3 linked regions of the Struthio camelus genome follow. The protein of the gene in region 1 purifies or fractionates together with the protein of each later gene. This does not show direct contact. Links are inferred from orthologs where the notes say so. Each region holds a gene or a part of one and is shown on either strand. Other genes may lie near its edges. The genes, in order: CLSTN1, KLC1 and APBA2.

Region 1 (8,582 bases):
AGGACAGACAGACAGTTCTTCAAAGGCACTAAGGTCTCTAATAAGCCTTTCTTAAAGGCTCCTAAGGAAGTTTAGATCCTACTGAAGCCAGTGTGAATCAAGAATCAGTAATGAATTGACTAAAAGAGACGAAAAACAAGATTTAAACAAGACCGAGGCTTCCAACTTACTAAATTCTTCCATGTTTTGAGGAAACGTTTCCATCTTTAACAATAATGATAATGCCACAAGACAGATGCCCCTCAATATCGTCAATGAAATTTCATCGTGATTTCACTGAACACAAGTAAATAGAAGAAATAACTGCACACATGCGAGATAAGGCTCACAAAGATCATAGAAAGTGCTTTTGTTCAGAAAGTCAACGACTATGCACCGTTCCCCCCCCAACCCCGGCAGAATAGTTTCATAGCTATAAACCAGTAAACTATCAGATATTTAGATTTCCATAGCAGAAAGTGCTGCTTTACCCAGAATACTCAGAATTCCCACTTAAACCTCTTGAGATAAGATGCTCTCATTAGGCTGTCCTGTGACTTGTTCGGGGTTTAACTTCAAGCCTTCCAATTTTCATGGGAAATCTGCCTAGCTTCTCTTTCCATTCTTCTTAAAAATTCCTTCCAAAGATCTGAAACTGATGAGTCAAATCTGCAAAAACATAAAGCCCTCAGAGCAAAGATATATTTAGGAGTCTAGGAAAAAAAAAGTTTCTATAGATACATTTCCCTGATTACTTGGCAAAGACAGCACAACTTGCGGTCTAACAATACGGGAGAAGACACCTGGCACGATGATGTTGCAAACACACGAAGTAAACTATGCTTGCTCAGAATATCACCTCTCCTCCATTTCAATTTCCATAGCACTGTGTCTTTTCACCTACAAATGGATAGGAAAATAGACTAATGTTGTTCACTAGTTATTTGATCTGAACAGATGACTCAATACTATGCTCTCCTAAGCATTATGCATTATAGAAAGGTCTGGCAAGGAAAATGACATTTAAAGCTTTCCGCTCAGTTACTTGTGTCTCTTCTCTTTTCAGCGGTCTCTTACCCTCAAAAATCCTTAGGAAAAAAAAAAAAATAGAACAGGACAAAATTGTAATGCTTTAGAATAATCTTATACTTCCTTCCCTCTAAATAAGAAATAGAAACCTAACTACCGGGCCCATACTACAAAGGCTCTCACCGTCTCAAATAAACATCTGCAATAAAACAGTGGTAGTGAGAAAGTGGTTTGTGGTTTGGATTTGAGACGTTCATACCACCAGAGAACTTCCTGAAATTATCACAGATCAGCAAAGCTTCCTCAAGATACTACTGCTTTGATCTGTATTCTACCTAAATGACAATAAGGCAGAAATGGTCCAGGGCAAAAAAAAGTGTCATGCTCTAGCTAGTCAGTAACCATGGAAGAATCAGCCATTATATAAACTGCCCTTCCATCTGAAAAGTCACTCCATTGGACCTCTCATTCAGCTCTGCTGATAAACACCCAATTACTTCACTCTGACAAACCCTCTTTCAGTACCCTGCTAACTACTGCTTTTCCACTGTGACGTGTCAAACACGATTAGAAACGTTTTGTTCAACCTGACCAAATACATGACAAGTATAATTAAACTAAGATTTTTGCATCAGTTCAACTGGAAAGGAATATACTTCTTCAGAACCTCAAACCACTCTTTGCCCCCCTCAAAATAACTACAGAGAAGATACGAGGGGTACGAGACAGTGGTAAATCAGCTAGATCTCACCTAATATTTCTGTAAGATCACACCCTCCAAAAGTTATTTCCATTGCTTTCCTTCACCACAAAAGAAACCACTTTGCACTCCCCTGTTCTAACCGTGCAAATACTCCGGACTGGAGAGAGCAACTGACCCTTCTGGTCTAGTCTTTCTAGGCCATTTCTGCACACTACTGAACAAAGCACAATGAAGTTTTCGCTACTTAAAACGCATCTTAGTGACCTTAGTAACAAGGATTTTTAAAGCCATAGATGAAAAATAAATAATAAAAAAAAGCTTTACCTGAAAGAAACGGAATAGACAATACAACACAAAACAGAAAATTTACCATAAAGACTTCCAAATAACAGAAAGACTTCTCTCGTAACAACAGGCAAATGAAAGCGAGTAGCTCTAGCAGCTTTCCTTAGTCAAGGTGATCTCCATCATCTACTTGGATATAAAATGCATCTTCATGTAACGTTACAAACAGGCCTACCCCACAGTAGCCAAAACATCCTGAGGACTAAGTTAACTGCACGTGCCAAGCCAAGCCAAACCTCACACTGTAACTCAGTTACATGTAATGAAGTTTAACAGAACAGGACTTCCAGCCGGCAGCTCTGTATATTAGTCTGAAAACAAGTACAGCTTCTAACAAATTGCAGACGAAAGAGCTGATCAACAGACCTGTCTGGTATAATGCTATGTAAACTTGCCATTCGCTTCCAGGGACATATCAGCTTTCTTCAAGAAAAAATCTTTTTTGATCTCTGTTCTATTCATAATTTCAAATAAAAGAAAAGCCTGTCAATTCAATGAGCTTCTGTTTCTGTACTGCTCTGGTAAGCATTAAATTACAAATTTTGGTTCCAAGAACACTAATGAAAAAATTGTACTTAAAAAGATCTTGTATGGGTAAATTATGGACAGCATCTAACAGTTTAGCAGACTTCTTGATTATAGCAGCAGTTTCATAATCCTACGAAAGGAAAATGCAGCAAAATACGTCTTTAACACAATGAAATGTTTTTTTTTTTTCCTAAGAGCAAGAATTTTGCTGTATTTGCAAGCCATTTTAAAGTGACAGTTCTAATCTACCTTCAGATTAGACACAAGATCACAAATCCCGTCGTGCGACCAACTAAACCTCGCAGAAAAGGCATTCCCAATTCGAGGGGTAACCTTCAGGTAAGGAAGCGGGGACAAGCCTCTCCTGAAACCTGCTCAGGAGGAGACCTGCAATGCGTATGCTTTTACTCAGCCAGATCAATCAATAGCCACAAGGCCGGTATTTAAAGACACTGGATCGCTTCAGGTTTAGCGCTGCTAGGCGCTATCGTTAGCCACCCAACGAGTATTCCTTATGTAAGCCTGAAGGTCAGGCTCCCCCACGGGCCCTGCGAGGTGCTTTACCCCCCCCCCCCCAATTCGGCTGGCCATCAAAGCTCCCTGCCCAGCCACAACCCCGTCACGGGTGTCAGCAGCGCACCCAGATCGCCCGCAGAAGGCGGCTTTGCGGCGGGCCGACAGTCTAGGACAGGGCGGGCTGCGCGTCCGCCCCCCCCCCGCAACAAGTGCGGGCGGCTGCCCGCGGCCGCGGCGCCAGGCTCCCGCGGGGGCCGTTATGTAACGCGCCTCCGCCGCCGCCGCGGGGCCGCCGGGCCTCGGCGCGGGGAAGCGGCGCAGGTGAGCGCCGGGGGGGGGGGGGGGGGGCAGCGGCCGCCATCGCCGCAGGTGCAACGGCCGCGGCGGGGCGCCCCCCCCCAAAAGGACGCGGCTCCCCCCCCCACCCCGCGCGTACCTCGAGCAGCCCCGGCCCCCGCGCAGAGCAGCGCGGCGAGCAGCAGGCGGGCGGCGGGGGCCGGCGGCGAGCGCGGCATCGCCGGGCGACGCGGCGGCGGCATGGCAGCGCGGTGCAGGGCAGCGCCGAGCCCCGGCTGGCGGGGCGGCTGCGGCGCCCCCGCTGGTCCGGGCTCCGCTCTGCGCCGCGCGCGGGGCTCGGGTCGGCGCGGCGCGGCTCGGCTCCGAGCAGGAGGCGGAGGCGGAGGGAGGGGAAGCGCCGCGCCGCGCCGCGCCGCTCCGCTCGCCGTTTCTCTCCGCCTCCCGCCCGCCCCGCGGCGCCAGCGGCACCTAAGATGGCGGCGGCGCGCGGCGCCCCCCCCCCCCGCGCTGCTACCGTTACTAGGCGGAGGAGGGAAGGAACCAAGGGGCGGGGGGCGGCGCCCTGCGGGGGAGCCGAGCGGCTCGGCGCGGTGGGCGAAACCACTGCGCGGGGGGGGGGAAGGGGGGTGCCGCCCGCCCCGCAGGGGATTAAACCCATTAAATCCGGGCCGAGATTTGCTTCGCCGCCGCCGGCCCAACCGGCCGGGAAGGGGGGGGGGGGTCCTGCTGCCGCCCCTGCGCAGGGGGCTGCTGCGGGGACGCCCCTGAAGGCGCCTGCAGCCCTAGATCCCCGTTAAAACCTCCATAAAACCCTTGTAAAGGGTCTTTTGCGGGGGGACTCTCTTGGAGCAGGATAAGGGCCCTTTGGGGAACTCCTGCGCCTGCCTGCGAGCGCCCTTTCTCCCTCTGCTCCTCCCGGAGGCAGGAAAGCTAGTTGCTCCTCGGTCAAAGATGGCAAGGGCTTCAGGAGAGCTCGGACAACTCCAACGCAACCCACTTTCATAATTCGAGACGCAGAGCAATCTGTTCCGCTCCCCAAAGAGTTTTTTCCGCCCGGAAAACCCATGGCCTTTACTTGCTACCTCTTAAAAGCTTTGCTACGGGGCGTGCAGAGCAGGAACAGGAGCCGGAGAGAAACGCATCACGCTCCAACACATGGCGCAGCGGTGCGCCAGTTACTATCCTGTGCCAGGTAGCGGTCCCTGAACCGAGCCACCAGCTGCCTCCGTATTTATTTATTTCACGGCCTGGGCGCTGCAGGCCACCTGCTTTAATACAGCTAAGACATCTTCCTTTTTTTTTTTTTTTTTAAAGGTAAAGCCTCAAGTCTAAAACCCTTTGATTTCTCAGCCTGTCTAACATATGCTGGATGGCAGATCATGTCAGAAGAAGCCTCTAGCCCATCTGTTGCCAGAGAGCCGAGCCTTTGCGTTCTGCCAACGCAGCTTCAGCTGACAGCACGCTACATTACGTATTTTGCTTTTGTCTGGAGAGCAGAAGAGCTGTCCAGCTCGCTAGGACTCTCAGACTAGTCTTACTGACTTCATGCACGAGTAAGAACCGTTGAGCAAGAACCACCCCGTGAGTGAAGACTTGCAAGGCAAAAGATCATCAGTTAAAGGATGGTTGTCCATTGATCAATGCATGATAAAACACAAACCTATTTGCCCAAATACTGCATTTGGATAGGCAATATAACTATGTACTAGGCTTGGAGGTCAATGCAAAAGTACCTGAAAAGGGCTCGCTAGTCAGTGGCCAGCAGGCACATATACACACACACATTAAAGTACTTTCTGCAAAGTAATGTATTTTGTACATTTAAATTGGAGAACCACCTCGGCTTATTAAGTAAGGCAGGAAAACAGTGTTCAAAGAGCAGAATTTGCTCTGCAGTCTACTTGAGCTATATCATGCGCCATAGCGGGGGAAAGAAGACTGCCATGACCACAGAAAGTAGGGGACTTCAGTGTTACCAGGAGGACTCATCTAAATGATTTTGATTCTGCAGAACTAGGAAGGGGAGACATTTTAAATAAATTAAACGTTCTTTCCAGGTAAACCTTATTTATTGCACAATGACACTATCAGCTCAGATTAATGAATCAGCTGAATTGGTCATGATGGAACTGGGAGATTTCCAAGGAAGGAGAAGGCTTTGATTGCTGTTACCTCTCTGAGCAACATTCCTCTGAGTCAGTTGTGACTAAGGCACTGAATCAATAAAGCCAGTAATTCTTTAGCATATATTTTGAGTTCAGTTAGATGATTTCGTTCAGTTAGATGAGTAAGCGGACTGAACTAGCAGGCCAGTGGCTGAGGACACAGAGAGTATAGGCGCTCCACCTGTGGAGGAGACATCAGACTCTGAAATTCTGATCCTATGTCACCACTGATGTTCCACTGGCACTTACTGTGAAAGTATGTGAAATACAACATCCTCTCCAAATCCTTAATAATAATAAAAAAAATTAAATTACCCAGTTTGAAGCCTTCTATGCACTAGTCTTATTTGCTGTTAAACAACAGCTATACTGTTTGCCAGAGGTAACTGCATTTCACAAGTTGACAGATTGGCACTTTCTCTGAAATGCCACATGCCATTATTTCAGAGCAATTCATAGAAAACTAACTTCAGCACCTTCATTTCTGCCACCTATCGTCCTCCTACTCTCCGACCTGCTTCTCAAGCTCAAACAAAAAAAAAAATCATCGATTTTGATTTTATTAGTAAGCAACAAAGCTGGAACAAATGGCTCCTGGCAGAACATGTTTTCTGTTACAGCTGAAAAACTAGCGGACTGATGTCCTTGAAATGAACAGCATGACTAATGCCCAGCTTGCAAGGACCCAGGAGGACACGTATTTATTGCACTTGTCAGAGTGGAGCTGAGCAGCCAGAAATGAAAAGATAAGCTGATAGGTAAAAATGAATGCCTTTGTCTGCTTGCTTCTTAAAGGAAGCTGGCGCATTTCATGCACAGAGAGAGCAGCGAGACTGGCCCAGTTAGTCAACAACAGATCTGGATCTGATCATTAGCGCTCAGACTCATAATTAGCATATACTCAGAATGTGCACTGTTATTTCTAGATATGAGATTTGGACATATGTTTAAAAGGCCCCAGCTCTGGGGCAAGGGTCCAGTCTCTAAATAGAGAGTCTAGAATTGGGTTTGCGAAAGGGTCCCATCTTTAAACAAACAGACTAGAACTGGCTTGGATTTCAACTAATGCTTGCCTACTATTTTGATTACAGACTATGACTGCTTTTAATGGGAAGTTAGAATGTAGAACCCAGTTTTATCTCCCCTGCCAGGTATTTGCTTCATCACAGCTGACCTGAGACCACTTCTGAAACAGGACAAATTGCCACTGAGACACCATGGTGTAAAGTAATTAAGCTCTGTGATAAGAGCTGCATGCATAGCCAAGCGAAACAGTAGACGAGGGCAACCACAAGCCGGTTCCTGAGAAGCTGTATTACAGCTCCACTCTAGCTCCCTCCTTCGCACTAGAGAAAGCCATAGGAAAATCCAAAAGTATTTTGCTAATTTGAAGTCTAGAGTTTTGCGGTTCCGATATGAGTTATCTGAGTCAAGCAGGAAGAATGAACCAGGATAATATTAAGGAAAAGGTAATTCAAGGTGAATATCAAAAATTAATTCTTCACAATGAGATCTATGAAACCACAGATTAGCCTCAGAAGGGAACAGGCAGAAATGGCATCTTCTAGGTCATTCAAAAGAAGTTTCCACAACAGAACGCTAGAACTATGCCCCTACCAGCTTGATGAGAAAATATAAACAGATAACCAACTAGGTCTTTTATAGCCTTGCTGTCCATAATATACAGCTCCTATCCTCTGGACACAAAGCAGCATAAAATTCATGCGTCTTTAGATCCACTGGATGACTTTTTTCTTTTTCTTTTTCTTTTTTTATTTTTTTTGCAATGTATGTAACCTGACTGTATATGTTGGATGGAAAGAATCAGAGGACTGGTTTCCCCCACACTTGAACATTTCCAGAACTGCTTTGATCATGTGTGAGAATTCATTTAGGGGATGCAAATGAAGGCCTTGGCAAGACGAAGAAGAAAATCTTCTCCCCTGACATTTCTCAACGTTCATAGAATTCTCAACAAGCCATTGAAGCATGAGTTCATCAGAGAGAGAAAAAAATTAAATAAGCAAAAAAGTACATAAAAACTAGTTTCCTCACAAGAAAACTAGCAGCATTAGCAATCTTCCTACCTTGTTTGTTTATTTTTCCTGCTTAGACTTACCTGCTATTGCAAAATACACATCTGGAAACATGAAAGCAATGAAGATGTAAGTATCTTTCCTTATAGAGACTGAATATTCTGCAACATAATTATAATATTTTACAACTCATTAGCACCTTCCATCCTAGGATCTCCAAGCATTTTACAAGCGTTAATTAATGCACTCTCACAATACTTCTGTGAAGTAGAAAGGCAGGTGTCTAGATGGGATGACAGGTGCATTACAATTGAATAAGACAGCATTTCCAGTCTTTTCATTTGCATATTTAGGAAAGCAGGGCACAGGGAGGATAGGTAAAATGAAGAAATATCCATAATACCTTGAAATACCTTAAGGCACATACAGACAGAGACAGACTAGCTTTTAAGTGCTTCACTAAAAAGCAGGACTCAGCTTGGGGACCTCAAGAAAATTTAGGCTTTCTGAACTTAGGTCTTTGCATCTGTTACCACAATGACTATTTTAAGCTGCATTATGTAAATAAGAGAGGAGTATGAAGGGAACTGGACCTGTTTCTTAAAGATTCATCTCCTTACTTCCAGGGGTAGTGGGCTCTGCTGAAGCTCTGATATCTTCTGGGAGGACGTCCACTGTACAGCAGCCTTTGAACAGCAATAAAGAAATTAGTTGTAAAGCTTATTAAAACACCACTAAAGACAAAGATGGAGAGAGTACAGCAAGTGAAGACAGATAACAGAAATAAATTATTCTACTAATCATCCCCTAACTCAATAAAATAAGAGCTGAAGTCAGGTGCTCTAGATGAGGCTTTACATAATGCGTGTCCACAGGAATCCCTGCTTTCTGGCTTGTTTCTTCATGTGCTGTGCTAACCTATTCCGAATAGCAGCACAGTGGCCCACACCCACATTAACTGCTTTCTTAATTTAAAGTTTCTTA
Region 2 (8,102 bases), on another chromosome or scaffold:
TTTGTAGTGAAACTCAGGAGAATTTCATCAGAACTGGCACCTAATATAAAGCCACCTTCCTCATGCAGAAATCCCTACAATTGCTACCAGTATTATCAAATAAGAGCCTTACCTGATCTTATTGCATGTAATCTGGCAGCCAAACCTGATGAGTTAGCAAACCTCCATAGAAGAATGCTGACAAGCCGTATAGGTAACAAACACCTGGTGTTCAGAGGAAGAGAAAGGAAGGGGAGAACATATGTAGTAATAATGCAGGCACTTAGAACTACTGTATCATACACTGAATGTTCTTACTCTAGTAGTGGCTAAGATTAACACGGTATTGCACCAATAGGGTGTTAACGTTGATTTCATCTAAAGGCTTTAATACAGTGTCTGCAATGGTTCAGTGACGGAGTAAGTGGAAAAGGGAGAGTACAGAGAAGGAACGGAGGAGAGTACACAGTGGTATGTTTCCGGATGTATAAGCACTAAAAGTCATACAGAATGAATGTGGAGAAGAGATCCTTTCCAAGATAGGAAGGTGTTGGTGGTTAATATAGTAAAAGTGGTACTGACTACAGACCATGGAAGCAGACAAGGAAGAAAGTTTCTTCATCTTTGAATGAAATGAAAGGTATGGCAGAAGCAAAAAAAGAACAGAAATTGCTAGTGGGGTGAAATAAGTATGAACAGGTGTGAGCGGTCCCTCAGAGGTGGGAACCTACTCCTTGGATGCAGGGAGTGAAGATACAAGTCAAGGGGTTTGTAGAGGAGAGCTTCTGACGATAACTAAACTGTTAGACGTTCTACCGTTTGAAGTATCTTGGGAAATACTGACAGTGTCTGTAAATTCATATAGCACAGAATATTATGGGTTGTCCAACGGCACAATTCTCAGGAAATCCTTGATCATTTAATACTTTGCACATCATAGAGGAAACGAGGATATAGAAACGTAGCTGTGTTGCTGAAATTGTCTACTATTTTTCTTTATGTTCATACAGTAATATTGACATGCAAGTTGTCTAACAGTTTCTAGCATTCATCTGGTTACTTTAACTGAATTAGTTGAGGATTTTTAGTCTGTTTTTTATGATAGAAATGTTTTAGAGCTAACTGAAAGGCTTTCCAAAACATTCCAGTGTCCTTTGAACTTTAATAATGCTGCTATGTAATAGCTATGAAATGAAGGGAATTTGGGGTAGCAAAATGTTAATGTCCACAGCAAGCATCCTGCTCTGCTTAAAAGAGTAACAGAAATTAACTAATGAAATGACCTTGTGAACTTTAATTACATTGCATGATCTTCTTGTTATTTAACAATAGGGCAGGGGAAATAGAAGAGAGGGTAGAAAAGGGCAGGGAGAAGCACACTACCTTTCATTTCTTGCAGCTTTTTAGACATCCTTGTGGCTAAGGAAAATTAACTTGCATGTAAATGAAGCATATTGTCTTGGGGAGTAGGATCGTGAGCAGTGTTTATTTTACTTAGTACTTTAATGCTATGTCCAACAGTGGGTTCCCTATGGTAAGTTCAGGCACCTGGAGTATAATAATGAATCATGTCAAAATACAGTCCTTTTACTCCAAAGTGCTCGAGCTCCATAATAACAAGGTAGTTCTGCGTGCATTAATTGCACATAAGCACAAAGGAGTTAGACTAAAACTGTGTGGAACCACGTACTTGACGCTTTTGACTCTTAAACAGTGATTTTTGTTTGCTGTTTTCCGTATGGGAAATTCTTTTATGAAATATGAATTCTTTGTAAAGAATATAAATTAGCTTATGCAACTGTCAAGTGATCATGATGAAAAACCAGACAGGTTCCTGAATCTGGCCTTTCGGTATTTATTGTTGCCAGGATGCTTTTACATAGCATTTTAGCAGTGGTTGAATTTATTCCAATTTAGTGCTTTATGGCAGCCCATATTTATAAAATGAAATCATGGATTTTATAGACGGTAGGATTAGATTTAAAAAAAAAAAAACTTTTGTCTCCTTCTTCTAGGAGGGAAGATGCTCTAAATCTAAAATTATTTTTTTGAATGACAATGGTAAAATAAAACATCGCATGCTTCCTAAATGAAGTGAACATGAATTTCTTTGTAGAAGCTTCCTCTGACTGGATGTCAGTCAAACTGAACTTGGGAGTTTGCTGTGTGTATTTCTCACATTGTTACGTTACCTCAAAACGTAAGAGTTTTGTGTTGTATTAGCTTTACTGCTTGCTTTTTTCCTCCCACTGTGAATTACAAACCTTCTTTTGGGAGAGGAGAGAAATGGGTATATTGAGGGAAAAAGAATCTGGCAGTGTAAATAACATGTTTTGGGGTTTTAATATCCACTGAGATGTCTGCAGAAAACCACAGTGACTTTGTGGCAGATAAAGACTATTCTAGAGACAGCAAGTCTAGATCACTTCATCCTAAAAGCAGGGCAAATAGGATAACTAACTCCTTAAGAGAAGATGCAAATGTGGGGCAATATTACAGTTTTACTGCTGGAAGAACTTAGATAATTCTTACGTAGATTGGACAGGAAAAACAAGATCCAACTGAAGAGAAACTCTTATGGTACTTGCAGTCAGGCAGAAGCTTGAGGAAGAAGCAGGCTGACGAAGTCTCTTTTGCCTCTGCTCTTCTACTGCGTGCCATAAACAGAGGGGAGTAATACCACGCTTTAGTTCCATTGAACTGATCAACCTTCCTGCACCGGGGAGCTTATAGCGTGTGCTACTTATGCAAGAAATTGCAAGCATACTTCATTAGCCTGCATATTATGAATCAGGGTCATCGCTGGAGTAGTTGCTTTGTTCAGAGATGCTCAGAGATCCCTGGGGTAAGCAACTAATTACAGAAAATCTTGTAAAGTATATGTGTGATAGGAAGAAAGTAATGAATATTGTTTATTTAAAAGATAGGCGTGGTTCCTTTGAATCAGTTCTCTTGCATAATTATGTAATTAGGACGTTCTATTTTTAATTAAATCTCTTGCATATTCATGAAAACGCTGAACTTGTGGACCCACAGGCATGATTCTTATTTTTAAAATGTAGTTTGTATAAAGGAATGCCTTTCAATTCCTTTTTTTTCCCCTTTTCACATTACTGTCCAAACACCTATTTCACAGTATTATACATAGTTAGGCTGGCCTATCCCCTGACTTTCCTGTCCAAGCTGCCCTGTGATGATAAACCACACAAAATTATCAGAGGAATGTTATTTTAAATGGAGATGAGAAACACAAAAAGCTGCTGCTCTGAAGTACATGTATCACAACTGTTTTTGCTAGAAAGCTCGATCTCTGTAAGATGTGAATCAGCAGTATTCTGGAAGTATACTTCAGTTCCCTCAGCTTTTCAGATCCAACAGTAATTCTCTGTCCTTGCAGTCTGTAGACAATCCACTTCCCCCCAAACTTTATGTTGTTCCTCATAGGCTTCTGTGAACTGTCTTTTCCTGTTCTACTTCTTTGACGACAGCATTAGCTTTGATTCCTTTTCCGTCTTCCTGCTTCTTCTTAGTCTTGCTTTCTCACCTCATTCTTGTTCTCACATCTGCCATCTTCTAGATGTGTTCAGTGTTACATGTGAAGGCAAATAACACGTAAGCAGAGCTTTCCTTTTATATTGTAAGGTATACCACTTAGATGACACATTTTGATTTAGCACTATACCTCCGCATGGTTCCATAAGTTAATGATTCATACCTGTATCTCCTGTAGGAGTTACATGTATGGTGCTCAGGCAGGCAATACGCCCCATAATAGTCTGTCTAGACTCTAATAACTCTTTCATAAAGTTGGGCTGTCACTGTTCCCTGATGATTCCTAATGTACATTTTACTGTTGTGTCATATCTTTAATCCCAAACCCCGGCTCCTTCCATCTTCCTTCATTTCTGGGATGGACTTCTACTGAACAGAATATAAAGCAATATGGAGAAAATCTTGTGACCAGTCTCTCCTCTTTTGAGAGAATGGGAGTGAAATGAGACACTGCAAGGAAATGCAGTTCTTGGTGTCACTAAAAGTTATGATGAAACTCTTGTTTTTCCTTTTATGAATAAACCTATAGAACAATAGGGATCTTTTATTATGTTCAATGCGCACCTAAGACAAGGGTGTGGAAACGTATTAGCAGCCCGTGAATCCTGGGAGGGGACCCAGCCTCCATAGCATTTGTACTTCAGCCTCGGCTGTCCTTTGTGTGACCTGTACATCGACTGCAAGCTGCCTGCGTGCTGCAGCTCCTTTAATGCGCCTTTGTTCCAGAGGTGCTTGAGAAGGGACCACGGGCTTTTTATGTCCTATTGTCAGCCTTATAGCAAAACAAAATTCCAGAACGTCTTTCCAGGGCATACAAAACCATAAACATGGGAAATACCCGCACCCTACCTAGGGACAACACCAAGGCTGGGTCACCTGAGCGTGCGCTTAGCAAACGTCGGGTTTTGCTCGTGACAGCAGCACCTTTCACGCACACGCGCCCTTCCCCCCCGTCCGGCGAGGGGGCACGGCCTAGGCCCGTCTGCCCCGACACGGCCTCGCACCTGAGCCCTTGAAGGCCTTGGCTCAGCATCTTCCCTGCGCGGCGCCGGGCAGGGAGGGGCGCCGGGCGCGGCTGCCCAAGGCGGCCGGGGCCGGGGCGGCCGTTGGACTCGCACTCGCCTCGCGGGCGGCCGTTACCCGCCGCGCGCGGGGGGGGGGGCGGGGGGGCGGATGACATCATAGACCGTGTCGGGGGGAGGTTCTAGAAAGAAGGGCGCGCGGGGGACTGTGGGAGAAGGAGTGGGGGCGCCGCCATGTTGCGCGGGGCGGGGCGACGGGCTGCGGAGGCGGCGGGGCGGGCAGAGGGGCGGCGGGGGCGGCGGCGGCGGGGGCTGCCTGCAGCTGTCAGCGCCCGCGCCTCGGAGGCAGGGCCCCGCGCCGACCTCCGCGGCCGTCGGGTCGGGCCGGGCCGGGCCTGTCAGTGCCTCTCAGGCCTTCGGAGCGGCCGCGGTGCCGACCCGCTTCCTTCGCTTCTCTCTCTCGTTCTCTCTCTTTTCTCCCGCCCCCCCCCCCAAAAAAAAAAAAAAAACACCCTTTTCCTTCCTCCCTTCCGCCCGCCCATCGCTGACATCCTCCTCCGGCCGCCTCTTCTCCGCCCCCGCGGGCTGCGCGGCCCCCGCCGCCTCTGCGAGCGCTGCGCACATCGCCCGAGCCTGCAGCACCGAGCGGTGAGTGAGGGGCGCGCCAGCCTCTGACAGCGAGCGGCGGGGCGGGGGGCAGCCGGGGGCTTCGGGGCTTTTTATCTGCGCCTTCCTGTCTGCCGTTAGGCAGAAACAACAAAAGGTTGGGCTGGCCGGCTGGTCGCCTGCAGCTCCGGCTGACAGCCGGCCCGTTTCGTGTGCGGTGGGTTGGGTTTTTTGGGTAGGTGGGTGGGGGGGAGGCGAAGGGGAGGATGTTTCCCCGTGTTTTATCTAAAGCTCTGTTAGTTGTAATCACCCGTGGGGAGCGCAGCGCTGGGGGGGAGGAGGAGGCGCCCCCACCCCCACGGCAGGGATGTGATCGGCTTCGCTTTGTCCCCTTGCTGGCGTCGGTCCGCGCTGCAGCCCGGGCCGGGCGCCGCCCAGGGAGGGGACCGCGGGCAGGGCGGGGCGGCGGGAGGGGGCGCCGCTTCGCCCGGCTTCCCGGCTGGCGGGCCAGCGGCCGCGCGCCGGTTTTACTTTATTGTGCCTAGTAAGCTAGTCGTTGCTAATTCTGAAATGGTGAAAGAGGAGTTCGGGAAGACAGCTTGGGTTTCGCAGTGACCAGATTTATAACGTTATAGGGCACCAACCCATGCTACGGTCTCAGACGATTCTCAGACTTTGATCTTGACCCAGGAGATATCTACAGTTCCAAAATAATGAAGGAAAACGTAGATTATGAATGCTTAATTTTAGCGAAATAACATTAATACATTACTGACTTTATTGATGTCTATCGTTTGCCTAGACGTTAATTAGAAAGACTTCTAAAAATCTTTCTCTTTTTGGCTTTTTGTTTTTAATATTGTTAGATAACAAAACGTCTGATCTGTAAATCTGCACAGCAGTTGTGTACAGTCACAAGAAAGGACTTCTTGATTCTTTAATGAATGCTTTGTTCTAAGGGTATTGGAGTATGTTTTAATGATCAAAGCAGCATCACCTAAATTAATGCTGCTAACTGGCTTTTTGAAGGCTAAGTCAATTATGATGCTTTTTTTTTTTTTTTCTTGTTAATCATTTCCTACAGTGTTTATTACTTAAATGTAACAATGGTAGTCAAATACTGAATATGGAACCAGAATACAGAATCAGAAAGTAAGGCCAACTAGCAAAAAGTGAAAGGTTGTTTTCATGGCTTACTTTGAACAGCAAAAATGTGAGCAAATGTCGCTCCTGATATTATTTTATATCACAGTTAAACATAAAATTGTATTAAATGAGAACTTATTTTAAAATATAATTTCGGAGTTCTTGCTGTTGGCCGAAGGCACAGTAACAATTACCCTAGGAAGTAATTGTCTCTTTCTCTTCCCCTTTTGTATTTGCACTGCACTTAAATAGGAAACTTATGCTCAGAGGGTGTGCATTGGAAAGCTAAAAAGGAACCTTCAAGATTTAGATGGTTAAGCATTTTAACTGAACAGATCTTTTTAAATTCAGCATTGAATTTTGATTTCTTTTGGAAAATAGCTTTATTTTAATTGATTATGAATTCCAAAGCTTCACTGAAACATAGTAGAGGATAATATAACCCTCGGATTATAGCTATAATTGAAAGTAACACATTCAGCATTTACTGGCAGCAGTGAGAAAACTGATCCATTTGGTGATTCTAAGCAAAAGGCCTTGTATTTTGTAAGCCAATTAAACAATTTTTTTTTTTTTTCGGTGAGCACATGGTTTAATAACGCATTTCTATGAAATCATTAAAAATGTGGAAATCTCTAGCTGTTCTCTTTGGATATGCTTTTTGTATTATGCAGAACCATGTGAGGAAATGCAGAGAATAGATATTGTCAGTTCTCAGAGTCACACAAGAATGCAGTATCACTTCTGCATCATGTTGCAGTTAAAGTTTGGCAACCTTTCTCCTTCCAAAGGATGATGATTGGGCTAAACAAATCCATTAATGAGAAATTTGAACAGCAGTTGGGTTTAAATTCCATTCATTTTATCATAAAAGTGCCATCGTATGTAATTAAAAAAGAGAATGAAAGAGTTATGTCTACCTCCCTAAAACTGTCTTGAAATTGTCTCATTTACTGTTCATCACGTTACTGTGAGATGGTAAAAGTGGCCTAATAATGGAAAATGATTTAAAAAAAAAAAAAGTAAGTCTTTTTTGGCAAAAGAGGAATTGCACACTAAACTGCAAATGGAGTTTGCAGGAGTCCAGAATAGGATCTACTGAATGCTTTCTGACATAAAAGAATCGAGAATAACGCTCAAGAATGCTGTATGTGATATAAGAGCAGTTGCTGCTTGCCCTGCTTATGAGGAACTTTCTTTGATGATACCGGAAAACCCTCACTTGTGTGCTATTTTTATGCCCTACACCTCTCTCTCTCTCTATATGTCTTTGTACGTGTATCTGTATACATATACACACATATTTATGTCTGTTATTTCGCTGGGAGTGTAGGGAAGTACTGTATCTCCATATTGAGTTCTGAGTCCATTTAATGCAGCTTCTGTTTCTCTTGAGACTTGTGGACTTGTGCAGTTACTCTTCCATCTCTTCCTCTGCTTGGCTTCTGTGGCAGACAAATGCAACTGAGTTTATTGTAGGGTTAACAGCATATCTGCAGATGCATAGTTTATGATTGTTTTAAAACTTAATTCGCTGTACAAATAATTACAAAAATAGTATTTCTTTAAGAGGAGTGGAAAGCAAGCAAGTTCAGGCAAATAAGCATAATATATTCTTTATTTTAAAGAGTCATGGTAGCAGACAGTGATGAGCACAAGCGTGCTAAGCCAATTTAAATAGACGCTTTATAGTCTGTCTGCCTCAAGGTAATGTTCAGTATGACGCATCTCAAAAAATGGGATGTGACCGATTCCATTGTCGCTGCAATAGAAGCAGCTAGTCACAGGCTTATCAGT
Region 3 (8,130 bases), on another chromosome or scaffold:
TCTAGACTTGGAACAAATAGCCAAAAGAACCAGACAGCTGAAGAAGCAATGCTAAGATGCACTGAGAGGAGTTTCCTTTTGTAGGCCTAACTTCTATAGATTTCAGTGGGAACAGGATCAGACCCTATTCTTTAGCTACAATTCTAGCCCTTAACCTTAAACAAGAGAGCCTTCACAGAAGCAATTCTCAGAAATTTATTATTTCAACTTTTTGAGGGGTTGGAGGTGGAGTTTAGACATAGCGGCGTGACTCACTCTCACCACCACGAGCATGCAAGGGGAATATAATCAAGAAAACTAGTGGAAATTCAAGGGTGCAGACAGGTGCAACAGACAACTGTGATTTGTTTCTATCAGTGAAGGGGCACTTGATGATATGCCCCTGTTGCACCAGTATACAACTTCTGGACGGAACAACTGTGACTCAAATAACTGGAGCCTGATTACCTTGGAAAGGAGTAAGGCTTTCAATATGCCTATCTGTTTTTGTTTGTGTTTTTTCCTTCAAAAAAGGTGCAATGTAACCTTATTTTCTGATAACGTTCTCCTTCACATTTTGTTTGATGTGGGCCTTTGGCAAGTTTCCAGTCTGAGCACAGTTTTCATTTAGACTTTGCAGTTCATCTTTGAAAAGGAAAGTCGAGCCAAAATATTCAGCATGCTTTGAAAAGGAAAGTGGAGCCAAAATGTATAGCATGCATTTGTTGTACTTTTGTAGCAAACGAAAGATGGTGCTAAGTAATGTCAGGCTTTCCAGAACACGAAGTATTAACATTTTGTCAGTAAATTTTGTCACGGTTGGGTCAAAGTTAGTTTCCTGTTCTAATCTCTCCATGTGTCCTTTTTCCCTCTGAGTTCAAACACGTTCCCATTTTATGCTGCTTGAGGCAGACGAGATACATTTTTCTATACTGCACCAGCATTACTCAGCCAGCTAAAGGGTTCATAATTAAATGATGCAAAATATCTTTTTCTGAATTCCTCTATGCTGCTCTCAAGTCTTCTAGCTGGGTGGAGGAGAATGGCTACAGGACGCATTTCATTCTGTATGATGAGACAAGCTTGGAAGCATGCTCAAAAGCTGAGAAAAGAACTAACAGGTGGAGAAGTCAGACTCCAGCACTGATAGGGAAAGCATTAGCTGAAATATTGGCCTGAAAGATCATTTTTTGCATCCACAGACCTGTTAATATTTATGTGATACAATAAACAACCCTTAGTTCGATTGGTTATTTTGTGTATCCATAAGCACTTCCTTTTGTATCTAGGTGTGAATGTCGGGAGCATTATTAGAACTGTGAAGCTCCTGAAGCAATAAGCCTAGGTAGATCATAGTGTAGGGTGTGGGTCACAAGATGGCTGAGCCAAATTAACCAGTCACTGACTGCAAAGGGAAGAGGTCCTACACTCCTTGCCCATTTCCATCTACGTGTCCCTGCTGCTCACACTGAGCTGGCTTGTCCGATCACACAGGGAAGTGATTCAGTTCACCAAAATGACAGAAAGTTAACGCAGAGTAAGTTGTTATTTAGAACTGTCACTTTCTTCTGAGGTGCACCTAAGTTGGGAATGACACTAAAGCGTGTTCTTGTATACATGCCTTTTAAAATCCAACCTTACGTTTTCGCAAGTCTGCCAAAACACTGGATCTCCCATGCTTATACTGCAATTAATTAATCTGAATTTAAGAAATCTCAAGATTTGATTCGGAGTTTAATTGCTTTCATTATTACCATATTTACCCAATGCATCATAAGCGTTAGAAGAACGTACTCTATCGTGACATGTAGCCAAGCTACAGTGATTAATACAGTTGTAAGCTTGACAATTTGGAAAGCTGTGAATGATTTACTGGAGGAACTGCTTCTGCCGACCACCTTTTGGAAAGATAATACCTCAGTATTTAATGCCGAGACTAGAGTTTACTTTCTTAATGCAAATGCAGAAGCACCGCTGTCTAGTGTTAAATATGTTCCTTGGATTGGGACTTTATTGCTAAAAAAAAGATTAACGGAAAGTGGTGTGATCAAGAAACTCTCACAGAAAGACCAGGGAACATGGGGATGTTCACAATATCTAATTTATGTACTTACAGTAAGCGCTTTGAATCATTCCCTTGGAGCTTCAGTTGATTCTCTCTGCCTAAGAACCTCTTCCTGTAGTGAGTTTGCTGTACTCGAGCACCTTTAATTAAGAGAAAAAGTTAGATTTACTTGCCTCAGAAAACACTCAATTATTTTACCAATGCAGTTGTCCTGCTGGACAAATTATTGAAGACTCTAAAATAGAAGAAATCCCTGAAATGGTAGCCATAGTATTTCTCATAAAGCTGCTGAGTGGCACTAGACACAGAAAGGTAACTAAGAATTTAAACCTGAAGCACAGATTCATGTGGGATGCAAGACTGTTAATATGTAAATAGGAACTAACAGCAATGTATAAATGCTAACACTACATTTTAAAATGGAAGTCCTCACCATTTTAGGACTGCAAAATCCTTTAACCTTTGATGGGTTAATCCCACTTCTGCCTCTGTGGAGGTCTTGTATGGAAAAGATTATTTCCAAAAATTGAAGATTAGTAGAAAAGAGCATTATTAGATTTAATATTAACGCACCTTATTTTTGCCTTCCATTTTGCTACGTCATTTCCTATAATAACCATCTGGCTTAGTCACCAAACGAGGTGGAGGAAGCATGCTTGTTGGGAACTTAAATAAGAAGCCCCTATAAGTCCACTTACTTTGGAACCACTGTGGTCTTTGAGAGGTCAGCCGCAGCAGCTTCAGGAAACAAACACTTACCTTCCCGATCAAGCTGGGAATACTGCTCTTGGTGTATTGATCGAGAAAGTGAAAACTTCCTTATGTACCTGAGGCTATTTCATTAAGTTAATAGTTTTGAGAATTTATAATATGAATCTCGCAAACGTTTAAACACAAACAATGAAACACAATCTTTCAAATGTTCATACAACCCAGCTATAGATGATTTATAACTCCCTGCATTAGCGTGCAGCATACCTACAGTTTATGCAGTATCTGAGTTTTCATCATCTTCAAAAAAGAACCCAAATCAGTCAAGTAATTAGGATAGAGATAGACGAGAAAGGTAATCGTAGAAAGCTGTAACAGAAAACAGCAACCTTAAAATGGCTACTGGGTAGCAGGCATTTCTATTACGTAATAGAAATCTTTACAACAAAACGAAAACCAAGAATAAAGACGCCCCAGGCTGGTGTTTCTACCAACGGCCTTTGCACGTACACGGAATTTGAGGCGGCGCTAAGCAAGGGGCACAGCTAGCCCAGGGCAAACCGAAGCGCACCAGGTTGGATGCGCAGTGATTACAATGAACATTGAGATCTAGCTGATGGGAATGCAATATAATTAAATTAAAATGACTTTTCACTCTTGCTGTCATAAGAACAACATGATTACTTTTTACGCTCAACCATAAGAATAGCTAGAAGTCTGAAATTCGCATGCTTATGAGCAAATCCTGCCATAATTTGGTTTAAGAGTACTTGATCTCACACATGCTCCTTTACATACAAAGCAATCACCCTTGCAGGAGGTTCAACAGAAAGATCTAGTAGCATCGAATACAAGGCCTGAGGAACCAACTATGTTTATCATTCACCCTAAGAGCAACTCTCGCACTTCAGTGAGCTTTTAAATATTATATAGAGAGCATCTTCCACTTTCAACCTCTACGTGGGGCAAACACTGTGGTTAGCACTTGTTAAGTCCGATGCCGTGGCAGCACGTGCCCGTTGCGGAAGCCGCGCTGCGCCCAGCCGCAACGCCAACCCCTTCTTGCTTGGAGGGCTGCGGGGGCAGCTCCAGCGAGGCCAACGCCGGGCACCGCCACCTGCCCTGCAGCCGGCCCTCCCCGGGCCCGGCCGACGTCGGCTCGGGGCTGCCACACCAGCCTCTCCACATCCACCCCCAGAGCACACCCACCACCTCAAAGCACCCCCACCGCTCCCTCGCCCCCGCGCCATTTTGTGCGAGGCTCGAAGGCCGGTGGGGGCACGGCCAGGGGCGCGTCCCGCAGCCGCCATTTTGCCCGCACCTCTCCCACCGCCGCGAGCGGGCCGGGCGGGACCCCCGCCTCAGGCTGGCGGCCGGCGGGGAGAGCGGGCTGAGCCGCGAGGGCGCGGGCGCCCCCGCCGGGGCCGAGGCCGGGGCCGAGGCCGGGGCCGGAACCGAAGCGAGGCGAGGCGAGGCGAGGCGGGAGCCGGCGGCCGCCCCGCGCCCCGGAGGGCGGCTATGCGCCATGCAGGTTCCCGGGCGGGCGCCGCGATTGTGGCACGCAGCTTCCCGGGCGCGGCCGCCGTCGCGGTGTGTGGCGCCGAGGCAGGCACACAAAAGAGCGGCTGCCGCTGCCCGCCGCTCCGCCGGCTGCGGCACCGGCCCCGCCGCTGCCAGCAGGGTAAGGAGCGGCGGCCGGGCGGTGTCATCCCCGCGGGGGAGGGAGGCAGGGAGCGGGCGGGCGGGCGGACGGACGGACGGACACCCCGCGGGGCTCCGCAGGGCGGCGGGCGCTGTGGGGGCGCCGCCGCCCCCTCCCCTCCCCCTCCCGCGGCCGTTGCGCCCCTCACACGCGGGCGCGGGGCGAGGGCAGCCAGGGGCCGCGGGCGCGGAGCTGCTGTTCTGCCTCGCCGTCGTGGGGAGGAAGCGGGGGGCGGCGGTGCCGCTGTCCGTGCCCGGTGCCGGCGCCGCGTCAGGGGGCCGGAGGCTGAGGGGTTAACGCGCCTTCCCAGAGCCCAGGGAGCTGCGTGAGGAGCCCTCCCGCAGCGCAGCACCGCCAAGAGTTTGTGTCTGCCCCTGATTTACCGTGCCGCCAGGGCGGCAAACGGAGCGGAGCTTCTGATCCCCCCCCCCCCCCCCACTTCATAATGAGATCTGGAGGGAAAAAGCTACTCGATTAAAAATTCGGCACTTCGTTTTCCTTCAGATGAACGGCACAAAACATTAGAACATGGTTTGGTTTCCCCTTTTGGAGACTGGTGCCCCTTTCATTTATGTATTTGTTTATTTATTTTGCATTGCCGTAACAAAAGGGGTCGGGGAGCCTGGGGAGCTGGATGCTGGAGGGGCGAGGACTGCCTGGTGGCGGTCGTCGTGCCTCGGCCCGCGGACTGCGCTTTCGCACGCCTGCGGTCCGGTCCACTTCCTCGGCGCCCTTCTGATGCGTGTCGCATGGCAGCGAGGGCGTGAAAGGAAAGAAATTTCAATAAAGATGCAAGAGATTATGCAGCGTACATAGTACGGCAATAAGATGTGGTGCACTGATTTTTAAGAAAAGTCTTAAATTGCTATAGTCTTTTGGGGTTAAAAAAATACAAATAGTGTTTCAGTTATATTACCTTGTCAAAACCACCATATAATCTCACAGGGGTGGGAAATCTGTTTGCAGACAAGGTTTTTCATGTATTATTATACCTGCTACCCAAGAATTCCTCCTTATTTAACCAGCAGAACTGTATATGTAAAGAACAGAAGAAACTGCTATTTTAGCTTTGTGTGGCTGTGTATAGGCAATACTATTTCCACATAAGGTGACTTTTAAGAGGGAGGAATTCTAGTGTAATTGTTTATTGCCATTTTAGGAAGTAAAAATTCAGTATGTGCTGATTATTTGTATGTTGAACTGATTTAAAGCGTAACACTGAAATTTATATAGTCCAGGTTCCCCTCAGTAAGGGGCAGACAGGGAGGAAAGAGCTTTTCCTTCCATACGTGGTGCTACGGGTACCAAACCACTGCGGGGGAAGTCGCTGTCCTCTGCTGTACGCTGCTTTGGGCTCCTCGGCTCTCAGGCTGAGGACCTGTTCTTGTAAACCTTGATTCTGTCAGGCTTCCTAAACCTAAATTCTCTAGTGGTTTAGCCCTTCTCTGCTCTTGGAAGTCTCTAGAGCTATTTTTAAAAATCCAGTGTTGCCTGTCATCAGTAGCCACGTTATTGCTTCCCTTTGATCCTCTGATCTTAAAGAATAAGGCTCTATAAAAGGCCATGGCTGCCCAGCTCTTTTGGTCAAAGTCTTATGAGTCTAAGGAAGAATCCTGAAGAATCCTCAGGCTAGGGACTGAGTAGATGGAGAGCAGCACTGCTGAGGAGGCCCTGGGGTCCTGGTGGACAGCAAACTGCACGTGAGCAAGTCCAAGTAGGCCAACAGCATCCTACGTTGTATGAAGCTAGTAGACTGAGGGAAGTGATTATCCCTCCTTACTCAACACTTATAGACTGTGCCTGTAAAACTGTGTCCCGTTTTGGCCCCCTCAGTTCAAGAAAGATTGATAAACTGGAGTGAGATCAGTCGAGGGCCACCAAGCTGGCCAGGGCTGGAGCACAGGCCCGATGAGGAGAGGCCGAGGGTGCAGGGCTTGCTCAGCCCGGAGAAGGGGAGGCTTTGGGGGACCCAACAACAGCTCCCCGGTATCTACAGGATCATCAGGAAGGCAGAGCCAGGCTACTCACAGTAGTGCATAGCAGGAAAATGAGAAACAGCAGGCATATGTCCATTCTGAAGCTCTCTTGCTTCAACATAAGGAGAAACTTTTCCCCTGCAACAGTCAAGCAAGAGAATGGGTTGTCCAGAAAGCTTATGCAGCCTCTTTCATTGGAGGTTTTTAAGACCAGACTGGATAAAACCCTGAGCAACCTGGTCAGTTGACCCTGATTTGAGCAGGAGGTTGGATAGAGACCTCTGGAGGTCCCTTCCAACCTGAATTATCTTATGAGCCTATGAACAGTTGCAAGTTTGTGCTCATCCTTAAGTGATCTAAGAAGCAGGCATGTTTCCAGAAGTCAGAGTTTTTTAGAAAGGAGTAGAACTTCCATCCTAAAACTATTGCATTTCAGCAAAGACAGAATGTAGATGTTAGTATGCTATACCAGCCAACTGCTATTACCTGTGTGGGTAAACTAATATATTACTCCTGATTGTAGGAAGAGCTATTTGGTTAGCATATTTGTATTTTAATGCAGATATAAACAAAAGCAAGAACCTACTTCTTGCAAGCAAGGACCTTTCTTAAGTAATGTCTTTCAGAGCTCCTGTGAGGCAAATAAAGCATTGCAACATTAATACAAGAAGCATATTAGTAGTTCTTATAGCTGGGGAAAATAAAGCACTGATACAGTCACATGCACATCACAGGGTAAGAGGAAGAGCTTGAAGCAGAATCAGAAATCACTAATTCTTAGACATTCCACCAAACATGTGATTGCTGAGTTGAGCATTCATTATGAATACCTTAGGTATTTGCAAATGCTTTTATTCTACTGAGGAAGAATTAAAATATGGTGATCTGACTTGTGTGGTGTGGTTTTTGTGGTTTTGTTTTGTGTGGTGGTGGTGGTGTTTTTTTTTTTTTCTTTCCGTTCCTGAGGACCCATTTACCCTGGAGAGCTGGTTGAAGCGTTCAGTGCTTTAGACTTGTCCTGCGTGTGGGAGCAGAATGTACAGCACTCAAACTTTTTGTCATGGCATCTGTGAGGACATTTTTTCCAAGTCTCACTTTTATCTAAAACTTAAGTCTCATCTTGGCTAATAGTATTGTTTTCCAGAAAAAAGAGTCTTCTACAACTGGTAAAAGCAGTTAAGGAATAAGCTATTTCCTTCTAGTGCCAGTGGGTAAATGCACTGTATCATCTGAGTGCACCATATTTCTTTTTGGCTGCAGTACTTATTGCCTTCATTCACCTACTGCAGCAGAGGAGGGTAACTCACACTTCAAGAGGACTAAGTTAGAGCTGAGCAGGGGTGCTATGGAAAACTGTAGGGTTGATAGATATTTCCACCTAGGAGAAGGAGGAAAAACCAGAAGCCCTATAGGGAGAACAAGGAAAAAGTATTATCATTCTTAGATAATAAGGTTGAGTGAGATACCGCTAAAGGTGCATACTCTGAAGTATACTCATGCATGAAGGGATCGTTTTCTTTTGAACTAGAGGTAGATGAAGAGGAAAGGACAAGTTGGCAAAAAGGGATACAGGAAGTCTTCAAAAGGATAAGTGTTTCAAGCATAACCGGTGTGAGGTTTGGGGTCTAGATAAGGATGTTCAAATAGCAGCGCTTCTGCAGTGCTGACATCCACTGATCCCCACCTGGACTCCCGCT

What was found.
Region 2: the proteins of CLSTN1 (region 1) and KLC1 purify together in Homo sapiens (co-immunoprecipitation; 3 studies listed by BioGRID and IntAct, with this or other methods). This does not show direct contact. The link is inferred for Struthio camelus from reciprocal best matches to the Homo sapiens genes CLSTN1 and KLC1.
Region 3: the proteins of CLSTN1 (region 1) and APBA2 purify together in Homo sapiens (affinity purification with western blotting; 3 studies listed by BioGRID and IntAct, with this or other methods). This does not show direct contact. The link is inferred for Struthio camelus from reciprocal best matches to the Homo sapiens genes CLSTN1 and APBA2.

The regions. Positions count from the first base shown.
Region 1 is NC_090962.1:5,752,259-5,760,840, forward strand, and holds the start of CLSTN1 (calsyntenin-1), read right to left. Parts: upstream 3,649-8,582; 5' UTR 3,640-3,648; coding exon 3,537-3,639; intron 1-3,536. UniProt on the Homo sapiens protein: Postsynaptic adhesion molecule that binds to presynaptic neurexins to mediate both excitatory and inhibitory synapse formation.
Region 2 is NC_090946.1:72,487,715-72,495,816, forward strand, and holds the start of KLC1 (kinesin light chain 1), read left to right. Parts: upstream 1-4,845; 5' UTR 4,846-5,201; intron 5,202-8,102. UniProt on the Homo sapiens protein: Kinesin is a microtubule-associated force-producing protein that may play a role in organelle transport. The light chain may function in coupling of cargo to the heavy chain or in the modulation of its ATPase activity.
Region 3 is NC_090953.1:18,938,668-18,946,797, reverse strand, and holds the start of APBA2 (amyloid-beta A4 precursor protein-binding family A member 2), read left to right. Parts: upstream 1-4,335; 5' UTR 4,336-4,436; intron 4,437-8,130. UniProt on the Homo sapiens protein: Putative function in synaptic vesicle exocytosis by binding to STXBP1, an essential component of the synaptic vesicle exocytotic machinery. May modulate processing of the amyloid-beta precursor protein (APP) and hence formation of APP-beta.